Arabidopsis thaliana: one gene and its partners. The protein of the gene in region 1 interacts with the protein of each later gene in a pairwise test. Each region holds a gene or a part of one and is shown in the gene's direction. Other genes may lie near its edges. The genes, in order: AT5G44260, NST1 and ATHB13.

The links.
Region 2: the proteins of AT5G44260 (region 1) and NST1 interact in a two-hybrid assay, tested with the Arabidopsis thaliana proteins (one large-scale study listed by BioGRID).
Region 3: the proteins of AT5G44260 (region 1) and ATHB13 interact in a two-hybrid assay, tested with the Arabidopsis thaliana proteins (one large-scale study listed by BioGRID).

Annotation. Positions count from the first base shown.
Region 1 is NC_003076.8:17,829,678-17,833,438, reverse strand, and holds the start of AT5G44260 (Zinc finger C-x8-C-x5-C-x3-H type family protein), read left to right. Parts: upstream 1-2,102; 5' UTR 2,103-2,319; coding exon 2,320-3,465; 3' UTR 3,466-3,761. Other genes in the region: AT5G44265 (Bifunctional inhibitor/lipid-transfer protein/seed storage 2S albumin superfamily protein), read left to right, coding at 123-496, 654-660.
Region 2 is NC_003071.7:19,221,241-19,225,001, reverse strand, and holds the start of NST1 (NAC (No Apical Meristem) domain transcriptional regulator superfamily protein), read left to right. Parts: upstream 1-2,085; 5' UTR 2,086-2,179; coding exon 2,180-2,366; intron 2,367-2,677; coding exon 2,678-2,964; intron 2,965-3,461; coding exon 3,462-3,761. UniProt on the Arabidopsis thaliana protein: Transcription activator of genes involved in biosynthesis of secondary walls.
Region 3 is NC_003070.9:26,256,803-26,260,563, forward strand, and holds the start of ATHB13 (Homeobox-leucine zipper protein family), read left to right. Parts: upstream 1-1,985; 5' UTR 1,986-2,363; coding exon 2,364-2,499; intron 2,500-2,580; coding exon 2,581-2,963; intron 2,964-3,297; coding exon 3,298-3,663; 3' UTR 3,664-3,761. UniProt on the Arabidopsis thaliana protein: Probable transcription factor that may act in the sucrose-signaling pathway.

The DNA of each region.
Region 1 (3,761 bases):
ACACAACCATCAACAACAACAAAAACTCATGAAATAAGCATGATCACTAATACTGAACTACTATGTACAAATTAGTCTAAGGTTGGTCTCATTGTGTATATCAATTAATTCGAAGTCTAGAAATGGATACACACACCACTAAATTAGTCGCGATTTCACTTCTACTGCTTCTCGTGATCTCCGATTACACTAGGCTAATGATTCAGGTTCACTCGTACGTACCATTTTGTGCATACACATATGATTACTTTTCTTATTGTCTAGACTTTCTCACGGGATATTACTACAAACCCGGTAAAAAATGTTGTGTCCATATCGTAAAACTTAACATAATTGCGAAACACAAAAAAGAGAACCCGAGGCTTTTGTGTAATTGTGTTGAGATGATGACGAGAGGTTATACGCCTCCAATGTTGGCTGATAAGATCCAACAGCTTCCTCTTCTTTGCAACACACATCTCAGTTTCCCTATCTCCTCTAGCATGGATTGCTCCACGTAAGTTTATAAACATTAAATTTTACTTTAAGTGGAGAAAGATTCGAGATTGGTTTGGGTTTTGATTTAAGATGATCTTTTTTATATAAACTAGTTATGTTGTTGTGTTGTATATTCAAAACTATTAATAATGTAGCATGTGTTTGGTTTTATGCAGGGTTTAAAGTCTTGAGGGGTTGTGTGGGCCAGTTTGCTTTGGGGTGTTCAAGAAATATGGTTCTATGTGTATGGGTATTCAATTTTGGTCTTGTTTATATTAGTTTGGTTCTTTTTTTTCTCCAGATTTTGACTATTTTGGTTTAGAGAATGTGGCAGCCACATTTTAAAAGTTGAATCTAGCATATATTTGTGTCATTTTCGTTAGATTTCGAATTCAGTTTTCTTACAAAAAAAGTATATCTTTATACTAGTATACTTCCAACAAATTTGAAGTATTGATTTAGATAATTTCCACTTTTAATACAATGCTGAAGGGACACTTGATGACTTGAATGAAAGATTTCTTCTCAATTTCTTTTTGTTGTCTTATCTGTTATTTAAAATTTTAAATAGACTTTTTAGCTAATGATTTATTCATAAAAAAAAATTTGGATTGGACAACTAATCAATAAATTTTAAAATAAGCAAAATGTGCAGTAACAAAAATAAAATAAATGTATAAAACATATCGATTTTAAAACAAAATATCATATATATGCGTTATTTCTTCATAACTATGCGTGTTTAAAACAATTGTCCTTAAGAAAAGAGTAACCGATTGGAAGGAAAAACCAAAGGATCTTCGTTTCCATGCGAGCCACGTAACCAATAAAGAGATCCACCCTTGTTTAACACCTCAAACCTGTTAAGACTAATCACAATGTTCGAAGATAATGCCATTTCTATATATATTTAGTATAGCATCACACATGCGTTCTGTGTTGCAAAGTTTACTCTAGAGTTATCACTGAGTCATGACTCATGATGACCATTATTATAGTATTAGTACTTTTAAGTTTTAGGTCGAGAATATGAAGCTAATACATGCATGTAATGATGTAAATATGCCTACCTTAAAAAATATCGAATTATTCAGAAACAATGACTCGATATCCGTAAGAAACCGCCAGCTCCTGCTGAATTGCATGAACCTATCTTAATATTCTTTCGCCACGAACTCTTCCCTTTTGTCTCCTTCTTATAACTCTACACATCATCATTTCTTTTCCACTAAATAACTTACAATACGTATACCTTTTTCTTTTTTGTCAATTTAAATCAACACTAAGATATACTTTAAATACGAATCATTTAAATGAATATAATGTACTAATTGTTTCAGATTTTATTTCCTGTTTAAAAATATACTCATGAACTAAAACTAATTAATAAAATGTGGATAAATTAAAGCCTTTTAACAAAAAAAAAATGTGGATAAATTAATATCAATATGTTTCCTTTTTATTTTATTTTATCTATTTCAAAAAAATAAGTTATTCAATACATATGTTGATATTTTGACTATTTTTAATCATAATTTAAATCAATTGTTGTGTTCTTAAGCAAAATATCTAAAAACGAATATAACCACGTCCACCATAGAAGCACTGCAATTTTAGCATTCTAAAACATCCTTGATATTTTTTTGTCAACGTCTTATTATCTTTTATCTCAAACCATGTATATGGATGTATCCACTAACGCATATATATAGAGACAATTAGGCATCTATCATTTTATCCCACACTTATCTCTTCCTATCTCTCTCTCATTCAAACCCAAATAGGAAACAAATACACAAAAGTATAATAAAAAGTCTTTCTCTCATCTTTCGCCACGTAGACATGGACGTCGAACATCACAAATCCGGCCACATCAGTAGACCAACGGTGGATATTCCACCGAGGAAGCTTCTTTCCTCCGCCAAGTCTCCGTCGTCAGTTTCAAGTCCCCTTCGCGACTATAAAGAACAGAAAGACTATTGTTACGACTCTGACTCTGAGGATCCTTACGCTGGAGACCATTTCCGGATGTACGAATTCAAGATCCGACGGTGCACGCGTAGCCGTAGCCATGACTGGACCGACTGTCCTTTCTCTCATCCCGGTGAAAAGGCTCGTCGCCGTGACCCTCGCCGGTTTCACTACACCGGAGAAGTATGCCCTGAGTTTAGCCGTCACGGTGATTGTAGCCGTGGTGATGAATGCGGTTTCGCTCACGGGGTTTTCGAGTGTTGGCTTCATCCGAGTCGTTACCGTACGGAAGCTTGTAAAGACGGTAAGCATTGTAAGAGGAAAGTTTGTTTCTTTGCTCATTCTCCACGTCAGCTGAGAGTTCTTCCACCGTCCCCGGAGAATCATATTTCCGGTGGTTGCGGTGGATCACCGTCGTCATCCCCTGCATCGGTTTTAAGCAATAAAAATAATCGATGTTGCTTGTTTTGTTCCCATTCTCCGACGAGTACTCTCTTGAATTTATCACGATCACCTTCATCGTCTCCGCCTTTGTCTCCAGCTGATAAAGCCGATGCATTTTCACGGCTGAGCCGCCGTCGCACCGCCGTACTAAACGAACTGATTAGTTCTTTAGATTCCTTAAGTCTCACGGAAGCACTTGCAGCTTCTTCATCGTCTCCCGTTACCATGCCCATTTCCACGGCGACGATGATCGCTTCATCGAATCTAAGCAGCAACCACCACCACCACCGTCTTCCGCCGTGGCTTGATGTCGGAGACAGAGATCTCCAATTACAACAGAGTAGTCCTCTACGATTTGCTCTTTCACCTTCTTCAACTCCAAGTTACCTCCATGGCCAGCTTCAGCCACCACCGTCGAGCTTCTTTGGCGATGAATTCACACCACGTGGTGGCCGGCTAAGCGATTTCTCGGTGGCTGCAGCTGCGGCGGCCCAAGCTAGGGATAAAAATAGCTTTGAAGTCGGTTCTAGTGGCGATCTTGATCTAGGATGGGTGAACGATCTTTTGACATGAACAGTATGACATCAACTGTGAACTACTTGAGATCTTTCCCGACGGGAATAATTATACGGCGGCGCCGCGGCGGAGGTCCGTCGTGGTACATTGTTTATTAAAAAAGTATTTACGATTTTTTCCACGAGAGCTAATTAAGAGTCTGTAGTACTATGTCGTGCTTTAAAAATATATTTTTACTGTATTTTTTGTTAAATAAGAGAGTCCATAACTTCTATTGTTATATTGATCTCTTGGAACTTGTAATATCTACTACATTGTGATCGAATTCCTATGTAATGTTTACTTCAAAATAT
Region 2 (3,761 bases), on another chromosome or scaffold:
AGACAACGCAAATTTCTTTTATTTAGTTCTTATACTTTATTTTTTACCAAACGTTAATTAAAAAAATCACACATACATAATTTCTAAAAAAAATGTATTCTTCAAGTAATATATCTTTCTGAGTACTAGTTTATCTATTTATCTCCGTATTTAATAATCAAAAGTTACGTTTAAAATAGAAACAACTTTTATCAAACAAAATATATTAGAAAACGCATGGTACTGGCTACTGGAAAGAATCATGACCTGTAAATTTCTACAGTTTTCCCGTTTTATATAGTACTTAGAAACTTTGGATTTTCATAGCGCAACCAATAAACACATGGACTTAAGACACAAAAAAAGTTGGGTGCAATGTCATTAATCAAACTAAAAAAATAATGATTAAAAGCATGGAATTCCGAAAACGCAACAAAATGATTCTGTGTTTAGACAAATGCAGAAAGGCCTCTTAACTAATCTTAAATAAAGTCTTAGTTCCAACCACATAAACACTCCTTAGCTCCATTAATTTTGGTTTTCTTAATTACGTTTCTACACAAGTACACGTACTTACACATACAATTCCACAGTCTAAATGATAAAACTATGTGGTTTTTGACGTCATCGTTACCTTTCTGTCGTCTCACCTTTATATAGTGTCTCTAACAGAACGTAACAACCAAATGTTTAAAAAAATAAAAACAGCACCCCTTAATTAGGCTCATTCGTTTTGCACTAACCATACTACAAATCATCTCGAACGATCGAGCAAAGATTTGAAAAATAAATAAACGTATAACTCTAGAGATTTTCATTAGCTAAGAAAAGTGAAATCGATTGTTAATCCTATTTCAGACGGGACAGGAACACTCATTACCCAACTCTATCATCTCTCGAACACCAAACTATATCTACCGTTTGGGGCATTATTTCCCACTTTCTTTCGAAGACAATTTCCCATATATAACATATACACATTATTACTAATATATTTTTATAAATTTTCGTCACATCCCAAAAAAAAACACTCTTTGTCACATCAACTAGTTTTTTTGTAACGATCAAACCTTTTCGTTTAAAAAAAAAAAACTTTTGTAGTGTAAACGTTTATTTATCGATGAAAAAAGCCACATCTTCCGGAGGGAAACTTTTTAAGACACCCTATTTCGACTTTATTTTGTAAATACAGTGTGCATGTGCATATAAAGAGAGATATCATTTGTATAAATATCAAGAATTAGAAGAGAAAAAGAGAGAAGAAGACAATCTATTACTATTACGATGTGTGGGTTGTTAATTTGTTTAAAGGGAGCTTTTCTATAGAGATTTTTAAGGTCAAGGGTCATCGTTCGATGTGGGCTTGCTTCCTACAATCTAGTTGCCTTACGGGGCCTACTCTTTTTCTTTTGATAACTACATCACCTTTTTTTTCTCCGACAACTATATATCACTTTTTTTATGTTTTCCTTTTTTTCTTCACAATAATTCTTTACTCGTTGCAAATGTAAAGATACACAAAGTTACTTATTTTGTTTACGATGGTTCTTAGTAGTTTAAAGAATTAATGAATAAGATAAACCTAAACTTTGAAAAGACTAAAAAAAATGTATAACAACATACATTATACGTATTTGAAATAGTCCAAGTGATATTATGTCATTGATATTAGCACAAATAATTACGATGCCTGATATTGTCACATTTGATGATTTTAAGTTCTTGTAAAAGATAAGTGTAACTAAATCACTATAGTGAGGCCCACGTTTTAATTTCTAAACTAATTACAATGACAATAAAATAGCAAAACTATTTAAAACTAGACGCCAAAAAAAATTGAAACTAATAATTGTGAAAAAAGAACAAGAGAATAATAATCATTAATAATTGACAAGTGAAATTAATATATTGCTCTTGGAGGGTTATATTTTAATTTTCAAACTAAATAATGAATACAAATGGAAAAGCTAATGATAAGAGTTGAATTTTAATAATTAAGAAAAACAAAAAAAGGTGTACAAGGAGACACATGCGTTTTCCTCATGCATCTTGTTTTTATACAACAATATATATATATATATTGAGTCATTCTCTGCTAGCTCTCTCATCTCCAACTTTCAGTATGATATATAGTTACAATTAAATAAACCTCACATGCTCTATTCTTGCTTGATTTTTGAGTTAATCTTGAATCTCTTTGATGATGTCAAAATCTATGAGCATATCAGTGAACGGACAATCTCAAGTGCCTCCTGGGTTTAGGTTTCATCCGACCGAGGAAGAGCTGTTGCAGTATTATCTCCGGAAGAAAGTTAATAGCATCGAGATCGATCTTGATGTCATTCGCGACGTTGATCTCAACAAGCTCGAGCCTTGGGACATTCAAGGTTTATTTCCATAAAGAAATTTTTTATGAATTAATTTTCTCTCTTTCACACTCTCATAATCCAATTTTCCGAATTTATTAATTTTTCCATATATATGAAAGTGCTGTCTTGTCTATACTACTTTCGATTCATGACGTGATCTCATGTATCCTTTTACGAGAATATGACTAGAGTACAGAGAATCTACACTTAGTTGTTGATGTTGTTTGTTCATATTCGGAGTTAGTTACTGCAAAGACCAACATAGGTTTGGTTATTATACAATTTACTATTTAAGTTTTTTTCTTCTGATTATTTTTGTCGTTATGCAGAGATGTGTAAAATAGGAACAACGCCACAAAACGACTGGTATTTCTTTAGCCACAAGGACAAAAAATATCCGACGGGAACGAGAACTAACAGAGCCACTGCGGCTGGATTTTGGAAAGCAACTGGCCGCGACAAGATCATATATAGCAATGGCCGTAGAATTGGGATGAGAAAGACTCTTGTTTTCTACAAAGGCCGAGCTCCTCACGGCCAAAAATCTGATTGGATCATGCATGAATATAGACTCGATGACAACATTATTTCCCCCGAGGATGTCACCGTTCATGAGGTATGTATTAATTCCATCATAACCTAAATACGAGTTATTCAATCAAAGGATTTGGTCTCTTTTTTGAATATCTCATTTTACATCACAATCTCGATTTTGTTTTGATTAATTATTATTTCATTGACCATTATAAAAGTTGTTACTGATGATAAGATGTACAAGTAAAAAATATCATGTAATTAATATATATATAAAGGTAATTAATATATTTTAAAAAACAATATTTATGCAAAGTATGATCGTAATTTTCTTTAATAACATTATGAAAACTATCACATATTCGTTTTCGTTATTATTTTTTTCTTAAATTCCCAATATTTAATGATAATAGTTTTAGTTACTTCTTCCCACAAATATTTCTTTTCTCCTTTGTCATATACAGACGCACATGAAACTGAAATATGAATTTTCTTTTTCTTTTTGGTTTTAACCTAAATGGGATTAGTGCAAAACATGAACTTTGCTAATATATCTTAGTTGATTTTTGAATATTTAAGGTCGTGAGTATTATAGGGGAAGCATCACAAGACGAAGGATGGGTGGTGTGTCGTATTTTCAAGAAGAAGAATCTTCACAAAACCCTAAACAGTCCCGTCGGAGGAGCTTCCCTGAGCGGCGGCGGAGATACGCCGAAGACGACATCATCTCAGATCTTCAACGAGGATACTCTCGACCAATTTCTTGAACTTATGGGGAGATCTTGTAAAGAAGAGCTAAATCTTGACCCTTTCATGAAACTCCCAAACCTCGAAAGCCCTAACAGTCAGGCAATCAACAACTGCCACGTAAGCTCTCCC
Region 3 (3,761 bases), on another chromosome or scaffold:
GCGAGAATTTTACTTTTGTGATACTTATTGATTATTCCTATTATTGTTATTTTGCTAATTGTATAACTTTTTTGTAATTGGTCAATCAATATTACTCTACATATATACATATAGCATTACCAGTAGTCAATTGATTTCTTGTTTCGTTTTGGTATCTGTCTTGCGGTTGATAGGTTAGGTCAAAGCTAATAGGTTTGATGAGATCAGATTTGATGTACCATGATTCTCATAGACATGATCTAGAATTTCAAATACATGTTACAAGATTGTTGATCATGGACATACGTATAATCCATGCTTTTGTATATATTGTAAGTCTATTTACAGTTTCAATATAATTTTTTCGTTTAAACGCTATTTTGAGATGGTGATTGCTTTTCCATTCTATTTCAGACCAAATTTCAATTATGTTTGGACCGATCATACTTTTTAGACTTATTGAACTTTAATTTCATACAAAAATGATGAATTCTAAATAAAAACGAAGTAACAATACATATAGAGAAATTCTACACTACTATATTTTGTTAGTTTAATTTCTACTTTTTCACCTTTTTAGCGATAGACTTTAGCAGTTACCTATAAAGATTAACTATATACGTTCCATATTCTGAACTAAAAGATTAAACTAAGGTTCTGAATGAAGACCGTATTAGATAAGGTGGGTGGTGTAAGACGGACACCTAAAATAATATATTTTCTTATGAACTCTGATGTTATTCTGACTGCCTTGATCTTTCCAATTCACCCGCAATCGTTTTTATTTGAAGAATGAAAACGAACAAATTTAAAGTAACTATATATCCGACTAAAAAAAAAATCACAGTTATACTATGGTTTACAAGTGCAGCTATTATCTTCTTCTTTTGTTAAATATTTCAATCTTCCTTTTTCACATCAAAATAATCAAAACTAGCATCATAGAACATCTGAAAATCAATAATATCACTTCTCTCTTCTTCCCACAAAAAATAAAATAAAATTATGTACAATCCCTAGATCCACAGGTCTAGGTCAATCCATGTAGACACAATACGATTATTTGATGGGTCTATATATAGTCCATACGTACTAGCGTGATTAAATAGGATCAACATTGGACCCATTCACTATCCAGCTTCGTCCCTACCCCAATATCACTACATCATTATATATATGAAATTAATTTACATCAATAGAAGTATGAAAGGCGTTAGTTAGCTACTTATTACATATGTTCTCAGCCTATGCAAATGATTTAGCGAAAAATAAATTGTAAATTAAGTTCTTTAGAAATAAATTTAGATGATAAAAAGAGAGAGAGAGACACAACTTTGATAGTTATGATTTAAGATGAGAATTGGACTTACAAAAAAAAGGACAAATCTAATAAAAGAAAAAGTTATTAGATAAAATTTAAAGGACAAGTATGATGAGTGAGAGAGAACACCTCTCTGCATGTCTCTCCCAAGGGGAAAAAGAAGAGTCCTTTCTCTTCTTACCATTTTGATTATCATCTCTTCATTTTCCACTTTGTACGCAAGCTAAACCCCCTTGTAATTTGCTTCCTTTTTTCATTTTCAACAATATTTAGGATTATGCCAATTTGATATGAGTAATAACACAACGAAAACACTAAGATTACATGTTTTGGTCAATTCTACGATTTTTAATCTGCAATTACATTTATTTATTTTTTAACCCCATTTTTTTTGTTCTATCTCCAACTAAAAGTAGATATTACACCTCAATATCATATTCAAAGTTCAAACTGTGTCTTTTGTTGTGGTCTGATGCAAATTTTATTTATAGATGAATCTCAGCGCACCACACAATAATCCACTATCCTAAAGACTAAAGAGTAAGTATATACCAGGGTAAATTAAATTGGATCCCACTTTTACTTGGAAGCCAACAATGGTTAAAAAAATATCTATCTATAAACGATTGTCGAAAATGAAGATAAAATTGGAGTTAATAATTATATATACTTTGGCTTAACGTAAATGAAGTTTAAGCTTGTATTTGATCGTGTTATTTTTATTTTTTTTAACGAGAGAATCAATTGAGTGCGTCTCTTTCTCTTCTCAGCTCATATGTCCTCTCTCTCTCTCTCTCAGCCTTTCTATATAAAACGAAATAAAGAAGAAATTAAATACCAGAAGTGGTATAGTCTAGGCCGATACATTTCACTATCTCTCTCTCTTTTGTTTTTCCTCTTCTTCTTTTTTTCCATTTGATTTCAAACTCTCACACAAAGAGCTTCAGATTTATAAGACCATGATAATGGCTTTAAGACAAAGATTGGCAAGAAGAAAAAACTAAAGAGAAACGACCAAAATCTCAAGCAAACAGTACTAACTTCTGTTGCAAAACAGAAGAAGATGTCTTGTAATAATGGAATGTCTTTTTTCCCTTCAAATTTCATGATCCAAACCTCTTACGAAGATGATCATCCTCATCAATCTCCATCTCTTGCTCCTCTTCTTCCTTCTTGCTCTCTACCTCAAGATCTCCATGGTATATATACATAAACTTCCACACACATCTCCTCTGTTTTCTCTCTATCTCTTTCTAATGCTCTGTTCTGTTCTGTTTCAGGATTTGCTTCGTTTCTAGGTAAGAGATCTCCAATGGAAGGGTGTTGTGATTTAGAAACAGGGAACAATATGAATGGAGAAGAGGATTATTCAGATGATGGGTCACAAATGGGAGAGAAGAAGAGGAGATTGAACATGGAACAAGTGAAGACACTAGAGAAGAACTTTGAGCTTGGAAACAAACTTGAACCAGAGAGGAAAATGCAGCTAGCTCGTGCCTTAGGTTTGCAACCAAGACAGATCGCGATTTGGTTTCAAAATCGAAGAGCTCGTTGGAAAACAAAGCAGCTAGAGAAAGATTATGATACTCTTAAACGACAGTTTGATACACTTAAAGCTGAAAATGATCTTCTTCAAACTCATAATCAGAAACTCCAAGCTGAGGTAATTAATCTCATAAATTAACAAAAAAAATCAATATGTGTTATTTTTTTTTGGGTTAATGATCAATAATTACAGTTATTTTCCATCTAAAGGATGATTTTTTTCTTTTTAAAAAAGGTTAAAAATTATATTTCTGGTTTATAATTATTTGGATCAGGAGTTGCTTTCAGGTAGGGTTAAAAAACTGGACATGATTCATGACTTTTCAGACATCATTATCTCTTTTTTTCTTCACTCTTGTCTGGAAAGAGATCTGAAAACAATAGTTTCTTTATGCTTATCACATTGTACAGTAACTCTGTTTATGTTTAAAATTTTGTCTTTAATTACGCAGATAATGGGATTAAAAAACAGAGAACAAACAGAATCAATAAATCTAAACAAAGAAACTGAAGGATCTTGCAGTAACAGAAGTGATAACAGTTCAGATAATCTCAGACTAGATATCTCAACTGCGCCGCCATCAAACGACAGTACATTAACCGGTGGCCACCCACCGCCACCACAGACAGTTGGTCGACACTTCTTCCCACCGTCGCCAGCCACCGCAACGACAACTACTACAACAATGCAGTTCTTTCAAAACTCATCTTCAGGACAGAGTATGGTTAAAGAAGAGAATAGTATCAGTAACATGTTCTGTGCAATGGATGACCATTCTGGTTTTTGGCCATGGCTTGATCAGCAACAGTACAATTGAAATTGGTCTACCTGTTTTTTTTGTTTTTGTTTTTAAAAAAATTTATATTTTTTTTTTTTGTATTTGGAATTTTGATCAGAAGAACCCATGCATGTTTT